Linked DNA regions of Arabidopsis thaliana. The protein of the gene in region 1 interacts with the protein of each later gene in a biochemical or structural test. Each region holds a gene or a part of one and is shown on either strand. Other genes may lie near its edges.

Region 1 (5,349 bases):
AAAAGTAAAAAGTAAGAACTTTTTAATGTAGAACGTATGAGATGGTTCAATTAATCACAAGACACTTCTATGGCATTGCGTATTAAACGAAAAGTGAGTAAATAGAATTTATACATAATGATCTAATCTTGATCTTGCTAATAAAAATTGTAAAGGCAACAACAAGTTGTCAAAAATTTCAATTTGACGTAGAGATAAATTCTATCTAATAATTTTGTAAAAACATTCGAGATATAGTGTATCATTTTTCCATCATCTAGAACTCATTTGCGTATTTTCAAGTGTAAATCAGAACCTTGACACATAGGCTACACAAATTTTGGTCGATATTTATATTACTTTTGTAGCATAATGTGGATATCCTTCTAGAGACTAGAGTTCTAGATAAAACATTCATACATGTAACTATGTAAGTAAGCATGCATACTAAATATAAAATTTTCAAAAGTTTTAAAAGACATCATATAGATTCAAAAAGACGTGGGAAAAAGGAGAAAATGACAAAAGTTATTAGTAAAACAATCAAGTAAAAGGTCAAAGTAGTTAACGAAAAGATAAAAGTATTTCAAAAGTCTTCCTTCCATCTTGAAATGCCAAAAAATAAAAGACGAATGATTGAAGATAAATCAAAGTTGTCTGATTGCTATTGTATACATCTTTTTTTTTGTTAAAACTATTGTATACATCTAAAAAACCTTGAAGTAATCAAGATCTGAATTATAGCCGTTGATAAGGTTTTATGCTTTCACATTGAACTCGATCGTCGTCGTCAAATCTACTAGTCTCGTTTTTTAGTTTTAACGTGCTTAATTACTTCACTAATTTGTTTTTTGTTATCATTTTCACCAATTTTATTCATTGTGTGAATTAAGTTTTGTCCACATAGTAAGATTCATCAGTATAATAGGACATATGATAAAAGTTTGTATATAATCAAAGAGTATATCTAAGAATATCTAATTAAGATGAATGTTTCAGTCCACATTGGATTCTGCTTATAGTCAAACTGTCTTGTTCTTAAACCCAATTAGGTTAGAATACATGTACCAACAAATAGCATTTCTATAACTAATCTTTTATCAATTTACTTTATAGCCTACAAATAATTAGAGGAAAAGAAAAGAGAGTTAGTGGAATAATTGTCCTCTAAATCTCGATATCATCATTAACTAAATACTATATTTAGACCATATATACTATATTTTATAGTATACTATATTTTATAGTATATATAATCAACTAATCATATTAGACCACTATTAGAAATATGGATCTAAAAAAAACATTCTTTAATCAGTACTATTCTCATCCAAAGACTTGTTTTAAGAGACTAAATATGAATATGTGTATGTGTATGTGTATGCAGGAGTAGACACGTGCACGTGGCACATGCAGGGAATGGGAAGGTGGAGTGTTGACAAAGAAGAAGAGGATGATCCAAGTTTCGAAATGATTCCAAAAGTTATGAACTATAAGCCAAAGTGCTCAATCGCCAAACATGAACTTAAATAAACTTCACTCGTTAGATCGTTTTCTCACATTAAAGCCGCTCTACACTTTTACCCATTTTACCATTTATAATAACCACCACACATAGATATTAAGTTCTATGGATTTTATTCGTAAACTTAAGTTATGATCAAATAGCTAAATGATTTTGCGATTTGCCCGAGTTCTGTTTGTTTCTAAAATGGTTATCCAAAAAGCATATTTTTGTTTTATATAGAATTTGTGATATAGAAGAAATATACTAAAAATGTTTTAAAGTCTGTCTAAATCATAAACCAATGCAAAGAAAGTGAAATAAACCAAGATCTCGAGCAATAGACATAATAAATAAACAAACACCTAATAACATCACATCCCCACTAACAAATGTGAACATTAACTGTTAAAAATCACCAAAAAAGTCATCAAGATTTGGCTTTCCTTTTCAAAAGCAGTATACGTCTCTGTCTCACACAGACAGTGTATTCAATGCGTTGTGTTGTCTTCCCACTTTTCACCAGCTGAGGTTCTGCTTCTTTCTCTTCTTCTCTCCAAAACAAGAAAATTCTGCAGAATAACTTTTCATTCACGAGAGTGGAAGGTTACAGTTTTCCAAATCCGAGAAACAGACACAAAATTGGTCCCTCTCTAAAAGTTACTATCTTCGTTTAACAAAGAGATAGCTCCCAATCCAGTACAAAACAGAGTACTCTGCTCTATAAATTTCGTTCCTTTATTACTCTGCTCTATAAAACAGATTATTCTGCTCTATAAGAGAGATAGATAAATGAGCTAAAGCTCAGTAATTTCTAAACAGAGAGACAAGAAAATTCAAGAATGGTTACCTTATGTGCCACGTTACTGATCCTTCTCTCAATCTTTCTTGCAACTCCGTCGAATGTTCGAGGAAATGCAGAGCTGAAGGCTTTAATGGAGCTGAAATCGTCGCTTGACCCTGAAAACAAGCTTCTCCGTTCATGGACGTTTAACGGCGATCCATGCGACGGATCTTTCGAAGGAATTGCATGTAACCAGCATCTAAAAGTCGCAAACATATCATTACAAGGGAAACGTTTGGTCGGAAAATTGTCTCCGGCGGTTGCAGAGCTCAAATGTTTGTCAGGTCTTTACTTACATTACAATAGTCTCTCTGGAGAGATACCTCAAGAGATCACAAATCTTACTGAATTATCAGATCTTTATCTCAATGTTAATAACTTCTCTGGTGAGATTCCGGCAGATATCGGCTCCATGGCTGGCTTGCAAGGTTAGCATCTTATAATGTTTCACAGATCTTTCACTTGAATGTTTACTCGATCTTCCATTTGAATGTTTTGTGGTGTCTTTTGTTGCAGTTATGGATCTTTGTTGCAACAGTTTAACAGGGAAGATACCAAAGAACATTGGATCCTTGAAGAAACTTAATGTGTTGTCTCTGCAACACAACAAACTAACCGGAGAGGTTCCTTGGACTTTAGGAAACTTGAGTATGTTAAGCAGGCTTGATTTAAGCTTCAACAATCTGTTAGGTTTAATCCCAAAAACCCTAGCCAACATTCCTCAGTTGGACACTCTTGACTTGCGCAACAATACTCTCTCTGGCTTTGTTCCTCCTGGTGAGTTAATGATTCTTGAAACGTCTTTGTAAGAGCTTATCTCTCTGTTTCTTGACTCGGTTTTTTCTTCGTTATGTTTCTTCAAAGGTCTTAAGAAGTTGAATGGGAGCTTCCAGTTTGAGAACAACACCGGGTTATGTGGTATCGATTTTCCTTCTTTGAGAGCTTGTTCTGCTTTCGATAATGCGAATAATATCGAACAATTTAAGCAGCCTCCTGGTGAAATAGACACTGATAAATCAGCTCTTCACAACATTCCCGAGTCTGTATATCTCCAAAAGCATTGCAACCAAACACATTGCAAGAAATCCTCATCGAAACTCCCACAAGTTGCTTTGATTTCAAGCGTGATTACCGTCACTATAACATTGATTGGTGCTGGTATATTGACCTTCTTTCGCTACAGAAGAAGGAAGCAAAAGATCAGTAACACACCTGAGTTTTCCGAGGGAAGACTAAGCACAGATCAACAAAAAGAGTTCCGTGCATCGCCTTTAGTGAGTCTTGCCTACACTAAAGAATGGGATCCGCTAGGTGATAGCAGAAACGGAGCTGAGTTTTCACAAGAGCCTCATCTCTTTGTTGTAAATAGTAGCTTCAGGTTTAACTTAGAAGACATTGAATCAGCAACCCAATGCTTCTCAGAAGCTAATCTATTGAGCAGAAACAGCTTCACCTCAGTGTTCAAAGGAGTCCTCAGAGATGGTTCTCCGGTAGCTATCAGAAGCATCAACATAAGCAGTTGCAAGAACGAAGAAGTCGAATTCATGAACGGTTTAAAGCTTTTATCTTCGTTGTCACACGAAAACTTAGTGAAGCTACGTGGATTCTGCTGTTCTAGAGGCAGAGGAGAGTGTTTCCTCATCTATGATTTTGCTTCAAAAGGAAAGCTTTCAAATTTTCTTGACTTACAAGAACGCGAAACTAATCTGGTCCTTGCTTGGTCTGCAAGAATCTCCATCATCAAAGGGATTGCAAAAGGTTAAGTATTTGAAATATCACTTCTTTGAGTTCAAGGAACAAAATGTATTTAATACACAAATTTCTTGCAGGTATTGCTTACTTACATGGAAGTGATCAACAGAAGAAGCCTACAATAGTTCATCGAAACATCTCTGTCGAAAAAATCCTACTTGATGAACAATTTAACCCGTTAATCGCTGATTCGGGTCTTCACAACCTTCTAGCAGACGATATGGTCTTCTCAGCACTCAAAACAAGTGCAGCAATGGGATATTTAGCTCCGGAATACGTCACAACCGGAAAATTCACCGAGAAAACCGATATTTTCGCCTTTGGAGTCATCATTCTCCAGATACTCTCTGGTAAGCTCATGCTTACAAGTTCACTGAGAAATGCAGCTGAAAATGGAGAACATAACGGGTTCATCGATGAAGATCTTCGTGAAGAGTTTGATAAACCAGAGGCGACTGCAATGGCGAGGATTGGGATAAGCTGTACACAGGAGATACCAAACAATAGGCCTAATATAGAGACATTGCTTGAGAATATAAACTGTATGAAGAGTGAATGACTCTGCTTTTTAATTAGTATCTTTGTGCAAGTATGATTCTCCGGTTAGCTGTGTCCCACCAATTGGTTTTGTTTGTTTTAGTTCTCTCCAGTAAGAACCGGGTCCGGTTTATATTTTATTTAGATTTGTAGCTGAGAATTGAAGCTTTAATCAGTTAGCTATATGATTATAAGCAACGAAGAACTGATTAATGTAACAAAAGATACATATATAATAATCATCAAGGAGCAGTGTTTAAAACCCTCAAATCATGTCATCATACAGTTACAGTAATGATGATGCAACCTAAGTAAAGTAATTAGTCTTTGGTTACATTCACTAAAGATTTTCGAAACCATACATATAGGCGGAGATTAGTTTGTACCATGTCCTCTTACATTCATTGCAGCTTTCGGTCTTCGGGATGATTCTGCTCGTGCATGAGAAGGACTTGGATCAGTCGAGGGAAGTAACATTGGTTGCTCTCTGTTCACAAGACCACCTGCAAGAACATCAAAGAGATGATTTATCTTTGTTCACAAAGAAACGTACAACACGAAAACTTGACCGTGTAATAGGACTGCTTACTTCCAAATGAACCAGAGCGACTGGGTAACTGCATTTGCCTTCTAGCATTTCCACTCCAAGACTGTTCAAAACCAGCCAATTCATCTGCAGAATTTTGCAATTGAAAGCAAACGGTATATAAGGATATTTCATCCACAATAGAAC
Region 2 (6,611 bases), on another chromosome or scaffold:
TTCAGGGAGGTTATGATTATTCATTGATCATTGTTCTTGACTGGCAAGTATTGAGATAACATTATATTGGTCAATTGATTTGGCATTCATAGCTTGTGTAAGCTGTGTGCTAAGTCTTCAACATTAGATTCTTTTATTTTATTCAGGTGATTATTATAGTAACACATTACGTGTCTACGACATTCTTTCCGCTTTCAGGCGTTGGAGAATTTTCAAATGTATATTATTAGGTAGACTTCTAAAAAAAGATGTGAAATCAATTGTTACATTATTTATAGGTTAAAAAACTTTAGCAGATTTTAAATGAATCAGTCAATTTAAATCAGATAGTAAATTTTAATTTTTATGGAGGCACGTTTATTTTTGTATGTGATATGAACTCTAGTGAATTATACACGGACCATGTCACATTTGACTCCAACAACGCTTTCATGCGTTCACTTTGAATTTGTATGAGTCCGAATTTCTTGCAAACTTTTACTTCAAAATCATGAGAACAGAGTAATCAAAAAAGAGCATCCAAGACCATGCGTTGATGACTCATACATAAACTAATATTAAAGATATAAATTTCTTGGAATCCAAGAATGTTACACATAATAAAGGCTAATACATTTTGAAGAAAATTCACAGAACTATCTTAAACATTTCAATATGAACAATCGATTATAATAAACAACAAAGCTTGATAACACAAAGACTTTTACCTAGCTAAAGGGGAAAAATCAGAAGCAGAAGATGGACTAAACTCAACAGATTCCTTTATGTACGTCGCTTGACTACCTTGTTTCCTTTCTATTTCCAAAGCAAGACATTCGTTTAGCTCCATCACCACGTGTGGCATTGTCGGTCTACGGCTTGAAGACGGGTTTACACAAGCTAAAGCCAACTCTACAACCTTCCACACACCGTTTGTGTCATAGTCTTCATTCAGTTTCGGGTCGACAATACTCTTGATATCCCCATTGGTAAGCATGAACATAACCCATTCATTGATATGAGGTCTCTCTCGGTTTTTATTCATCACAGGCTGGTTTGTGACTATCTCTAAAAGCACTACACCAAAGCTGTACACATCACTCTTCTCGCTTAGCCAGTTTGTTCTGTAATACCTGAAAAGAAGAGTATCATAAAGAGAGGTTACAGTTCCCAATTCTTCATAACTTATTTCAGTACAAGAAACAGATTGATTCACTCACTCAGGATCTAAGTAACCAGGTGTTCCTGCAACGACTGTCATGACATGAGATTCACCATCAACAGGAAAAGATCTCGATAGCCCAAAGTCGGCTAGTTTTGCTTGAGACCGCTCATTTAATAAAATGTTGGTTGGTTTCACATCTCTATGTACCATAGGAGGCCTACATCCGTTATGCAAATACTCCAATCCTGTTACAAATAGTTATTGTTTATGTCAATCTTGCTTTCAGACTACCACACAAATTGTTGTGAATGAAAAGTATATAAGTCATAATTTAGTTCACCTTGTGCTGCCTCTACAGCTATTTGCATTCTTGTTTCCCAGCTTAGGACATTGACACTGTGTTTTCCTGTACCAGGCTTTGAATGTTTCAAACTGTCTAAGGAGATGGATTCAACTAAATTAAAGTGCTTACCTGACATATTTTCCCTCAGGTCTCCTTTTTCCATATATTCATAGATCAGAGCTAAGTTGTCTCCATCATCACAGTAACCAACAAGTCCCACCAAATGTCTGTGATGAACTCTTAAAAGAAGTTCAACCTAAGAAAGAACAAAATCACCATTCATGATTGAGGAACCTAATGCACTTTAAAAACAATTAAGACTAACATATCCATTTCTTATTAAAAAAAAAAAAAACATATCCATTTCTTGTTAAAGTACCTCTGCTTTGAACTCTTTATAACCTTGAGCTGATGAATGAGAAAGCATTTTCACAGCTACTTGAGTATCATCCAAGTTACCATGATACACTGTTCCAAACCCTCCTTTACCAAGAACTCTCTCAAAGTTTTTAGTCATCTTTAGTACCTCCGAATAAGTGAACTTGCGTTCCTTTGTTATGATTGATGAACTCGATGATCTTGCATCACTCTTAACCGTGCCAGTAGTGAATGATCGGGGTCCTGAAGCTGTAAAACCTAAAGGAAGTGAGTATAAATCTGACAACTTTCATTTTCATTATTTTCAAGACCTATTCTAGTGATCATACCTTCATTAGTTCTCTGTTTTTTCCTTATGACGACAAAAACGATAGCCAAGATAACTAGCACAGCAAACACGCTAGCCACTGATGCTGCGATAGCAACTACATTTGTACTATTTTTTCCGGTTTCATCTCTACTGCAATCATTAAAGGTGATGTGGAATCGAATAGAAGGTTAGACACTGTTTCATAGGATTCTGAAATACTTTCCGTGACTTGAAAAGCTTGAGACTGAATCCACTGAAAATCTTACATTAGTGTTAAAGATTTGTTATCTATCCTCTTCTGAAGAGTCTCTGGAACTGAGCGATTTAGATTCTTGTTTCCACTCAAGTTTCTGCAAATGACAAAAATGAATCTTTGAGAACAGCACACAAAGAGCAGAGCGACCAAGAACCAAGATAAATATATTAGTCATTTAGTAGCTCACATGAGTGTCAAATTCTTCATATCAGAAAAAACAAATGGAATATCTCCTGATAAGTCATTGTTTGATAAATCTCTGCGCATTAAAGGAAAAAAATAAATTTGTTATACACAATACACCATATCATATACTTTAAGTTTATTAGTGTGTGACAGTTTCGGATTCTTACAGTTCTCTCAAATGTGTTAGCTTGGATATATCAGATGTTATGGTACCACTCAAATTGCTTCCACTCAAGTTCCTAATAGAGAGTCCAAAAGTTAGAACTTGAGAAAAAAAACTCGAAACTAAAGAATTGTGAGATTAACAAGCAAAACATACAAGGATATGATCTGCGGTGGCGCAAAGTTTGGATAACTACAGTTTAAACCTTCCCATCTATATAACTCAGGAGCACATGGATCTCCTTGCCAGCTAGACCTTTTGCTCAATCCATATATTGTCTTGATATTCATCATAGCGGAAACTGATCAATCATTACATTTCAAAAACTTCAAAGACATGAACTCTTGGTAAAAGAATTGGTTTAAGAACATGCTTAACTTACCTTCATCTTGGTATGTATCAAGCTGTGGAAGCTCTAGAACTTGATAAATCTCAAGGCCGTTGATAAGAGGAGGATGAGTAGAGTTACCGGTCATCGAGAAAGTGAAGTTGAAATTCCCATCTAGAGAACTCACAGCTGCTGGATTGTATACAGTTGTTATACGAAACTTTGGAGGTCTAAAATAGGAGAACCAATTTTCGCCACCATTGTAAGTAATATTGAATTCTCTGGTCTCATTAGCTTCAAGATTCTCGATTTCAGCGAAATGCATGTATATATATGACTGTGAAGTGATGTCGTCGAGACTCCAATTTATTTTCAGAGGCTGAGTAGCATTTAAAGGGACAGCAGCAGTTTTCGCTACAGTTTGAGGCACATTGTAGAAGTTACTTGTATCAACAGAGAGTTCCGTGCTTAACAAGGAATTTTTGTTATCTAAGAATGGAATCCAAATTCGGTCATGGACGTCCTCATCATACCTAGAGAGAAAGGCTCATTTTGATAATTTAACACAAACAACAAAACAACTAGTATGAAAATAAAACCTTTTTGGCTCATTTCTGTACCTGAGAAATGGTGGAGTGGGTGAAAAGTAAAGTCTTGCGACCACAATAAGCGATCCACTTTTTGTGACGTATGTATTATTGTTCAAAGGACGAAGTTCCAATGAAGAAATAAACGGTGTAGTTTCTCCTGTTTTCACAAGACAAATTTGAAGATGGTCTTGTCTTAAGACATGGATCATCTCGGAGACTGAACCATTTCTCACTCCGGGGATCGAAACAGAGGTCCATTTGTTTGGACCGATGTAAAGATCAAAGCTCGGGAGTTGATTCAAACCGTCATAATTCCCATAGATAAAGGTTCCTCTGATTAGATACTTACGTTTTGCGGTGAGACTGAAGTTGTAACAATTTCTTTGACCCTCAGGGAAGCTTCTCAAGGCCCAAATTTGTTGCTGAAACTGTGTTCTGTACACTTCATTGATCTTCCCGGGAACTCCACTGTCGATGTAAGTTGCGTCTGATCTGTATGTTATATTCGTCGACTTTTCCACATAAGTAATTTCCGTAGGCACCAAACCACAATCTAAGCTTATGAATCCTGTTTATGATCGAAAAAAACAAACTTTTAAGAGGTTTTGTTGATCTGAAAAGGAAACAAAACATCAAGATTTCATGAAAACAGAGTAAATAACCTGATTGGTCTTGAGCTTGAACCAATCCAAGAACTGCGAAAACGAAGATCAAGAAAGACAAAAACCTCATGTTTTTTGGGGATGTTTGTTCTGAATCAGAGGAGGCTATTCATTTTTCATAGGTTCTTGGTGGGTAAAGATTGACATAAGAGCAAAGTATTGGTCAATTAAGATGGCCAAGTCTTCTTCTTCAACATTAGACTTATTCAGGTGATTGTAACAGCACTCTTATTTGCCTACGAAATTATGTGTCTTGTGGAAATGTTCAAACTAGAATTGGTGGCAAATATATAAAAACAAAATGAGAAATCAAACGAAAGTAAATAAAGAATGGAAAGATACAAACAAAGAAAGTTGCAGAATCTTGCTTAAACAAAACAAAAATACCCAACTTGCCTTCCAAGCTTCCAATAAAAGCAACTATAATAACAAAAAGAGAGCGTAAATAAACTACTAAACAATCGTACTTTTATTTTGTGTGAAAAAAATCTCGATATTATAGTTCGTTGACGTATATTGTATATATTTATTTGGAATTATTTTGACAAATTTCGATGTGTTTAAAATTCTTTTTAAAAAATAAAGTGAAGAAAAATTAGAAAAGAATAAGTCAACTTAGGTGATTTTGATTTTTGACGTCGTCGTTGCCTATAATATTCATTTCTGAAATTTCTAATATTAAGTGTGGAAAAAAACTCGATATTATAGTCCGTTGACGTATATGGTATATATTTATCTGAAATTATTTTGACAAATTTCGATGAGTTTGAAATTCTTTTTTAAAAATAAAGTGAAGAAAAATTTAGAAATTAATAAGTCAACTTAGGTGATTTTGATTTTTGACGTCGCCTATAATATTCCCTTATAAATCCATGACTCAAATCTGGATAATTTTCACTAAATTTTATGACTAAGTCATTTGATTGCTTATTTAATTAAAAACGAGTAACATAAACTTTTTTGTAAGATATACCCAAATTGGTAAAATGAATCAACATATTTTATACGGTAACAAAATTAAAGATCTCATATACACTATTTTCATTTTCGATTATATAGTACATCAATTAAGACTTCATTCAAAAAAGACTGAGCTGAAGCTTTAAATAGCTTTCCAACCTTAAAGTTGGTCCGACTCCGAATCAAAACCAAAAAAAAAAACTAGCGGTTTGGTTAATTATCTTCGTCTTTCTTCTTCTTCTTCTTTTTGGGTTAATAATCTTCGTCTCTCATTCTTCAACACAAAAAGAGACTTTGAATCCTAAATTGGACTGTGGAAAATTCAAAAAGACAGAGGCGAAGCTTTAGTTAGCTTTCCAACCTTAAGGTTGGTCCGACTCCGAATCAAAAAACCCTAGTGGTTTGGTTATAGTCTTCTTCATCTTCCTTTTGGTGTTGATAATCTTCGTGTCTCATCCTGGAAGCTTAGGATGAACTGTGTTTGGTTAATAATCTTCGTCTTTCTTTTTCTACCTCCTTCAGGAGTTTAAACTTAGTAGCAATCTGGTCGTAATCAGGAAGCTTAGGATGAACATGTTTTGTTGCTAATCTTCGTCTTTCTTCTTCTTCCTTCTCCAGCACTCTAAAGCGAGTAATCACTTGGTCGTAATCAGGAAGCGTAGGCTCAAAGTCTTTGGGTGATAATCTTCGTCTCTCGTTTTCTTCTTCCTTCTTCTTTTTAAACTGAGTTAAAAATTGTTCGTATTCATGAAGCTTAGAATGAACACGTTTGGTTGTTAATCTTTGTCTTTCTTCCTCTTCTTCTTCCTTCGTCACTTTAAACTCATTGTATACTACATTATGGCAACAATGTGGTGATGTTGATGATCTTCTTCTTCTTCGATGCATCCCTTTTTGCCTCATGTAATACGTCAAACTCTCCATATCCCTAAACTCTGTTAGTGGTGATAATGGTGATGATGAGGATTTTCTCTTCTCTTCACTACTTTCTCTGAATCTGAAGACTCTTTGATCTTTTCCGACTTGAGCCTCTTCTATGCAACAATCTTCCATTGATGTATCTTCATTGCTTCTCTCTTCTTTGATATCGGTGAGGCTAAATTTGTACACCTCGTGTTTGTGACTGACCAGCAGATCTAATATCCATTACTTTCTTTCTTTCTCTTCATTGACCTAAACACAAGCGTCCAAAATATTATGAAACCGAAAAACAAAAACAAATATATATCTACTGATCTTTACTAATACAATTAACAACAAAATAAAATCACCTGTTTTTCAATCTCAGGTC
Region 3 (5,514 bases), on another chromosome or scaffold:
TACAGTACATAAGTTTAGCAAAATAGGGTCTACCTCTCTTCTTCAAAAGACGACATAGGAGCCAACATAATGCAAGATAGAACTAACGCTAATTAAGATAATCGAAAAGAATATGACTTGGGTGCAAAGCAAAAGGATTACGGTTTCTTGAGAGAAACTCATCCACCGGTGGAATCAATGAGTGCTTCATCTTCTTCCAATATGCTGATATCATCATTAATATTCTTGGTGTAAAACTTGTAACAGATAATCCAGACATCATTATACCTAGGAATCCATATACTCATTTCTTTTTCTTTTTATCAATTGGGTGTGACGGCTAAATGATGTAAGAACAATGAAAAATAAAAAAAAGAGCAAAGTAGAAGGGAAAAAGCAAAATTCGGGAGAATATTTTTCCACCAGTATTTGTATTGGAAATTTTTTGTTGGTAATACAAAACTTTAAAGAGCTGCTGAAGTTGAGTAATCTTTACGATGTTCATTTTCAATCTTGAGACTATATCTATATGTGTTAAGATTGTATGGTAGAACGTGATATAATATCTGTATGGTAACACGTGAGAGTAGTTTGTTGGTCCATTCTACAAATCGAACTACCACATGACAGAAACATGTATGATGTAGATGTACTGTATATTTTAACAGTTGCGGACAACATTGGTCGGAAAAAAAAAACTCATACCAAATTGGTAAGTAGTGATATTAATTTTGGTTCAATTTCTTGATCATGTGAATAATAGAATTAAAATTTAGCCAAGCCAGCCAAAACCAAAAGAATCCGTAAGCATAGCAAATATAAAGCCACTTTCGAAACTAGCAACAATGACGGTGAAATAATTTTATCCTAGTTTAGTAGACTAGACAGTAGAAACATGATGTGATAAATAAAATGATTTAATCTCATTTCTCATACTTCACTTAAATAAGATATTATCTTATAGATTTCATGCTTTAGTTAGCTTCTAAGCGTGTTTTAATGATTATAGGGGGACATAACGACATTAACAACACACCTCAAATAGTATAGTTTAAATGTACATTTACAGAAAATTCATTTTAAACTGATTCTAAAATGTAAATTTACAGAAAAATTAATTTAAACTAAATTGATAACCCTTTTATGAAAAATATTCTAAGATGTTAGTCGCAAAATTGAAATAATAAGAAAAAGATTTATAATAAGAAAAAGATTTATAAAACTCAATTTTAAACACAATTATTGGAAAAAACTTCTATACAGAGACTTTGAGAGACCAGCGAGCACGTGTCAAAGGCATGGCATTTACTTCGACGGCTAAGTGAGGGACAGGGACCCTGACCGTAACAGTTCCCAAGGAGTTACAATGTTCCGTACCTCCTTCATTTGCTAATCCCTAACACTTACGTGAGTAGTGTTAGTTATTTACCCTAATCAACATTTGGATTAGGCTAATCCATGTTTGTGAGGACCACTATGATATTTTTCTCTCTTTTTTTGTTTCTTTATCATTATGATATCATTATAATGAAAAAAAAAAAATGGCGAAAAAAAAATATCATTATGATAAATAAATATATAATTGGCAATCAATTACACATGCCACCATACTTTTACCTTTGTTCACAAAGTCTCAAAATTACAGTACTCACAGTCAGTCAAAATTATAGTACTCATCAATATAAACATTACTAATTTAGATAATTTTATGTTAATAGTGGATCTAATTTATGAACCCCCAAACAGTAAAACTTTTTTTTCTAAAACATTACAATAAAAATGATATTTGTAATACCGCTATATATTTTACGATTAGTCACAATCAAAACGGTATCAATCGACAAAATTACTGATGACCAATAGAAATTTTGGCAAACATTATTACAAAAATGTGTTATGTCAAACTAAATTAAATGAAAACAAAAAATTTGTAATTGAATTATTAAATACGTTGCCATAAATTGATGTTTTGCCCTTAATTAATTGATTACAGTATGATTAAAAAGGTATAACTAACATAAATAAATACCCTTCAAGAACCAACCAATCTCTCATTCTTTCGTCACCCACCTTCTTCACTCTCTGTTATTTTCACAAACCAGAAAAATTCAAGTACAGAGAAATGATCCTTCTCTCACTTCTTCTCCATCTTCTTCTTCATCTCCTCAACACTTCTCCTTCTCTTTCTCTTTCCCCCGACGGTATCGCTTTACTCTCACTCAAATCCGCCGTCGATCACTCCTCCTCCTCCGCTTTCTCCGATTGGAACGATAACGACACCGATCCTTGTCATTGGTCCGGAATCTCCTGTATGAACATCTCAGACTCTTCTACCTCTCGCGTCGTTGGAATTTCCCTCGCCGGAAAACATCTCCGTGGCTACATCCCCTCAGAGCTTGGCTCACTTATTTACCTCCGTCGTCTTAACCTCCACAACAACGAACTTTACGGTTCAATTCCTACTCAATTATTCAACGCGACGTCGCTTCATAGTATCTTCTTATACGGTAACAATCTCTCCGGTACTCTTCCTCCTTCGATCTGTAAACTCCCAAAGCTTCAGAATCTCGATTTGTCTATGAATTCGCTCTCTGGAACTCTTTCACCGGATCTCAACAAGTGTAAACAGCTTCAACGGTTGATCCTCTCCGCTAACAACTTTTCCGGTGAGATTCCTGGTGATATCTGGCCGGAATTGACTAATTTAGCTCAGCTTGATCTCTCTGCTAACGAATTTTCCGGCGAAATCCCTAAGGATATCGGAGAGCTTAAGTCTCTCTCTGGTACTTTGAATCTCTCCTTTAACCATTTATCCGGCCAAATCCCTAATTCCTTAGGAAATCTACCGGTGACAGTCTCTCTTGATCTCCGGAACAACGATTTCTCCGGCGAGATTCCTCAATCTGGTTCGTTCTCTAACCAGGGGCCAACCGCATTTCTCAATAATCCGAAACTGTGTGGTTTCCCTCTCCAGAAAACTTGTAAAGACACTGATGAGAACTCTCCGGGGACTCGAAAGTCGCCCGAGAATAATGCGGATTCTAGAAGAGGGTTAAGTACTGGATTAATAGTGTTGATCTCGGTGGCAGATGCAGCAAGTGTAGCTTTTATTGGTTTAGTGTTAGTTTACTTGTACTGGAAGAAAAAAGACTCTGAGGGAGGGTGTAGCTGCACAGGGAATGCGAAACTCGGTGGTGGTTCGGTGAAGGGGAAATCGTGTTGTTGTATCACGGGGTTTCCGAAAGAGGATGATTCGGAAGCGGAAGGTAATGAGAGAGGAGAAGGGAAAGGAGATGGAGAGCTTGTAGCGATTGATAAAGGGTTTTCTTTTGAGCTTGATGAGTTGTTGAGAGCTTCTGCATATGTTTTGGGGAAGAGTGGGTTAGGGATAGTGTATAAAGTGGTGTTAGGGAATGGAGTTCCGGTGGCGGTGCGGCGACTTGGGGAAGGAGGGGAACAGAGGTATAAAGAGTTTGTTACGGAGGTTCAAGCTATGGGGAAAGTGAAACATCCTAATGTGGTGAAGTTAAGAGCTTATTATTGGGCTCCTGATGAGAAGCTTTTGATTAGTGACTTCGTTAACAATGGAAGTTTAGCTGATGCTCTTAGAGGTATTACATTACTTCTTCCTTCTTCTTTTTCTGCTTATCGAATTAGTCTACTAACTAAAGTTTGAGATCCGGTTCTGTTCTATTGACTTAAGAAATTTATGTTGACTTTGACTTTGTCAACGCTAGATTAGACATTACTACCTTAGTGAGAGATGAGATTAGATCTGAGAGATAGTTTGTGGGATTGTCAAAGCAAGAGTGGACCAAGATTTCTTTCTCTTTTTAGGCATATTTTGGTATTTTAATTTAGAATTTAGTCAAGTTACATGTAAAAGAGACATGTCTTGTAAGAGAATTCGACATGTCCGAATAATAAATATCTTTTTTAAGTATTAGTATATGATTTAAGTGTGGTAGAGTCTTAGAGTAGAAGTAATTAGTAAAAATAGCAGAATGAGGAAACAATGATGAGAGAAGTTTACTTGTGGGCTAAGAGTAATGATTTTATACACCCACTCTGTTGAGCCTCTAGCTGTCCCGTCTTTTTCTCATCGTAACTCATTACTTACTTTAATATTGGATACTTGTTTGTTTTGGTGTGTGAATAGGGAGGAATGGTCAACCATCACCGAGCTTAACATGGTCAACGCGTATAAAGATCGCAAAAGGAGCTGCGCGTGGGTTAGCTTATCTACACGAGTGTAGTCCAAGGAAGTTGGTACATGGCGACGTTAAGCCTTCCAACATTCTTCTTGATTCCTCCTTCACTCCTTACATCTCTGACTTCGGTCTCACACGTCTCATCACCATCACTGCCGCTTCTGCCTCTTCTAACGAACCTTCCTCCTCCTCTGCTGCGGGTGGTTTCTTAGGTGGAGCTCTTCCTTACACTTCCATCAAACCCTCAGATAGATCCAACGGCTATAAAGCCCCCGAGGCCCGGCTCCCTGGAGGGAGGCCTACTCAGAAATGGGACGTATACTCCTTCGGTGTTGTGCTTATGGAGCTTCTCACCGGGAAATCGCCGGATTCTTCTCCGTTAAGCTCTTCCTCGACGTCTACGGTGGTTGTTGAGGTGCCGGATTTGGTGAAGTGGGTGAGGAAAGGGTTTGAAGAGGAGACTCCATTGTCGGACATGGTTGATCCAATGTTACTTCAAGAAGTTCACGCCAAGCAACAAGTCTTGTCCGTTTTTCATCTAGCTCTCGCTTGTACCGAAGGTGACCCTGAAGTCCGTCCACGTATGAAGAACGTCTCTGAGAACATCGACAAAATCTGATTCAATTATTATATTCTTTTTTCTTTAATTTTTCCTATTATATTTTTGTATCTCCGATAGTTCTTACACGAGGTCGTTACGTCACTCCCACGTCTGGGACTAGTGGTCGATTTGTTTTTATTGAATAATTATTTGTTATGAAAATTGAATCAAATGAGTTATACTTTAGGCTTTAAATGGCTTTGTCTTTTATTTTGCTGTCTTTTTCTCATCTGTTAAAAGACAACTCCTAGTTAACGGGCACTTGTCTTGTCCTTCAGTTGAAGATACACATACAAGATCTAATATCTTCCAAGAACCATCCATTTGAAATTTCGCTTTTCATAGAGTTTATGCAAATGTGGATTTGGGTTTTTAGATTTAAACGGGTCACAGAATATTTAACTTGGGGTAAATTTTCAAAAAAGCATAATGGATAATTAAAATTTAGATTGGCCCATTATATTTATCAGGCCCACTAATTAAATGTTTGTTGCTTTTCTGCTTTTTGACATTTTACACCGGCAACCTTTGTCGGAGAACGGTTAAGTAGCTGGGATAACTCAGGCGGCGTCGCGGTTAGGTAGAGTAGAAGAAACTACAAGCAAGAGAGAGCGATTCACTGAAGGTAACCACGTCTTAAACAAAATGAACCGAACTATAACCGTTTGGTTAGAAGATTTAAAACGGAATGATCCGGTTTGATTTTTTGGTTTCAGATTCTGC

The links.
Region 2: the proteins of AT4G22730 (region 1) and AT1G51890 form a complex in vitro, tested with the Arabidopsis thaliana proteins (one large-scale study listed by BioGRID).
Region 3: the proteins of AT4G22730 (region 1) and AT1G67510 form a complex in vitro, tested with the Arabidopsis thaliana proteins (one large-scale study listed by BioGRID).

What each region holds. Positions count from the first base shown.
Region 1 is NC_003075.7:11,939,059-11,944,407, forward strand, and holds AT4G22730 (Leucine-rich repeat protein kinase family protein), read left to right. Parts: upstream 1-1,942; 5' UTR 1,943-2,325; coding exon 2,326-2,755; intron 2,756-2,843; coding exon 2,844-3,104; exon of another isoform or gene 3,105-3,191; coding exon 3,192-4,085; coding exon of another isoform or gene 4,086-4,090; intron 4,091-4,156; coding exon 4,157-4,638; 3' UTR 4,639-4,827; downstream 4,828-5,349. Other genes in the region: AT4G22740 (glycine-rich protein), read right to left, coding at 4,992-5,119, 5,206-5,289.
Region 2 is NC_003070.9:19,274,099-19,280,709, forward strand, and holds AT1G51890 (Leucine-rich repeat protein kinase family protein), read right to left. Parts: upstream 4,701-6,611; 5' UTR 4,431-4,700; coding exon 4,361-4,430; intron 4,267-4,360; coding exon 3,729-4,266; exon of another isoform or gene 3,642-3,728; coding exon 3,163-3,641; intron 3,082-3,162; coding exon 2,937-3,081; intron 2,857-2,936; coding exon 2,785-2,856; intron 2,691-2,784; coding exon 2,619-2,690; intron 2,526-2,618; coding exon 2,442-2,525; intron 2,326-2,441; coding exon 2,195-2,325; intron 2,115-2,194; coding exon 1,867-2,114; intron 1,744-1,866; coding exon 1,485-1,743; intron 1,390-1,484; coding exon 1,200-1,389; coding exon of another isoform or gene 1,196-1,199; exon of another isoform or gene 1,113-1,195; coding exon 704-1,112; 3' UTR 535-703; downstream 1-534. Other genes in the region: RHS6 (root hair specific 6), read right to left, coding at 1-24; AT1G51900 (Regulator of Vps4 activity in the MVB pathway protein), read right to left, coding at 5,786-6,443.
Region 3 is NC_003070.9:25,296,772-25,302,285, reverse strand, and holds AT1G67510 (Leucine-rich repeat protein kinase family protein), read left to right. Parts: upstream 1-1,932; 5' UTR 1,933-2,101; coding exon 2,102-3,590; intron 3,591-4,138; coding exon 4,139-4,809; 3' UTR 4,810-4,980; downstream 4,981-5,514.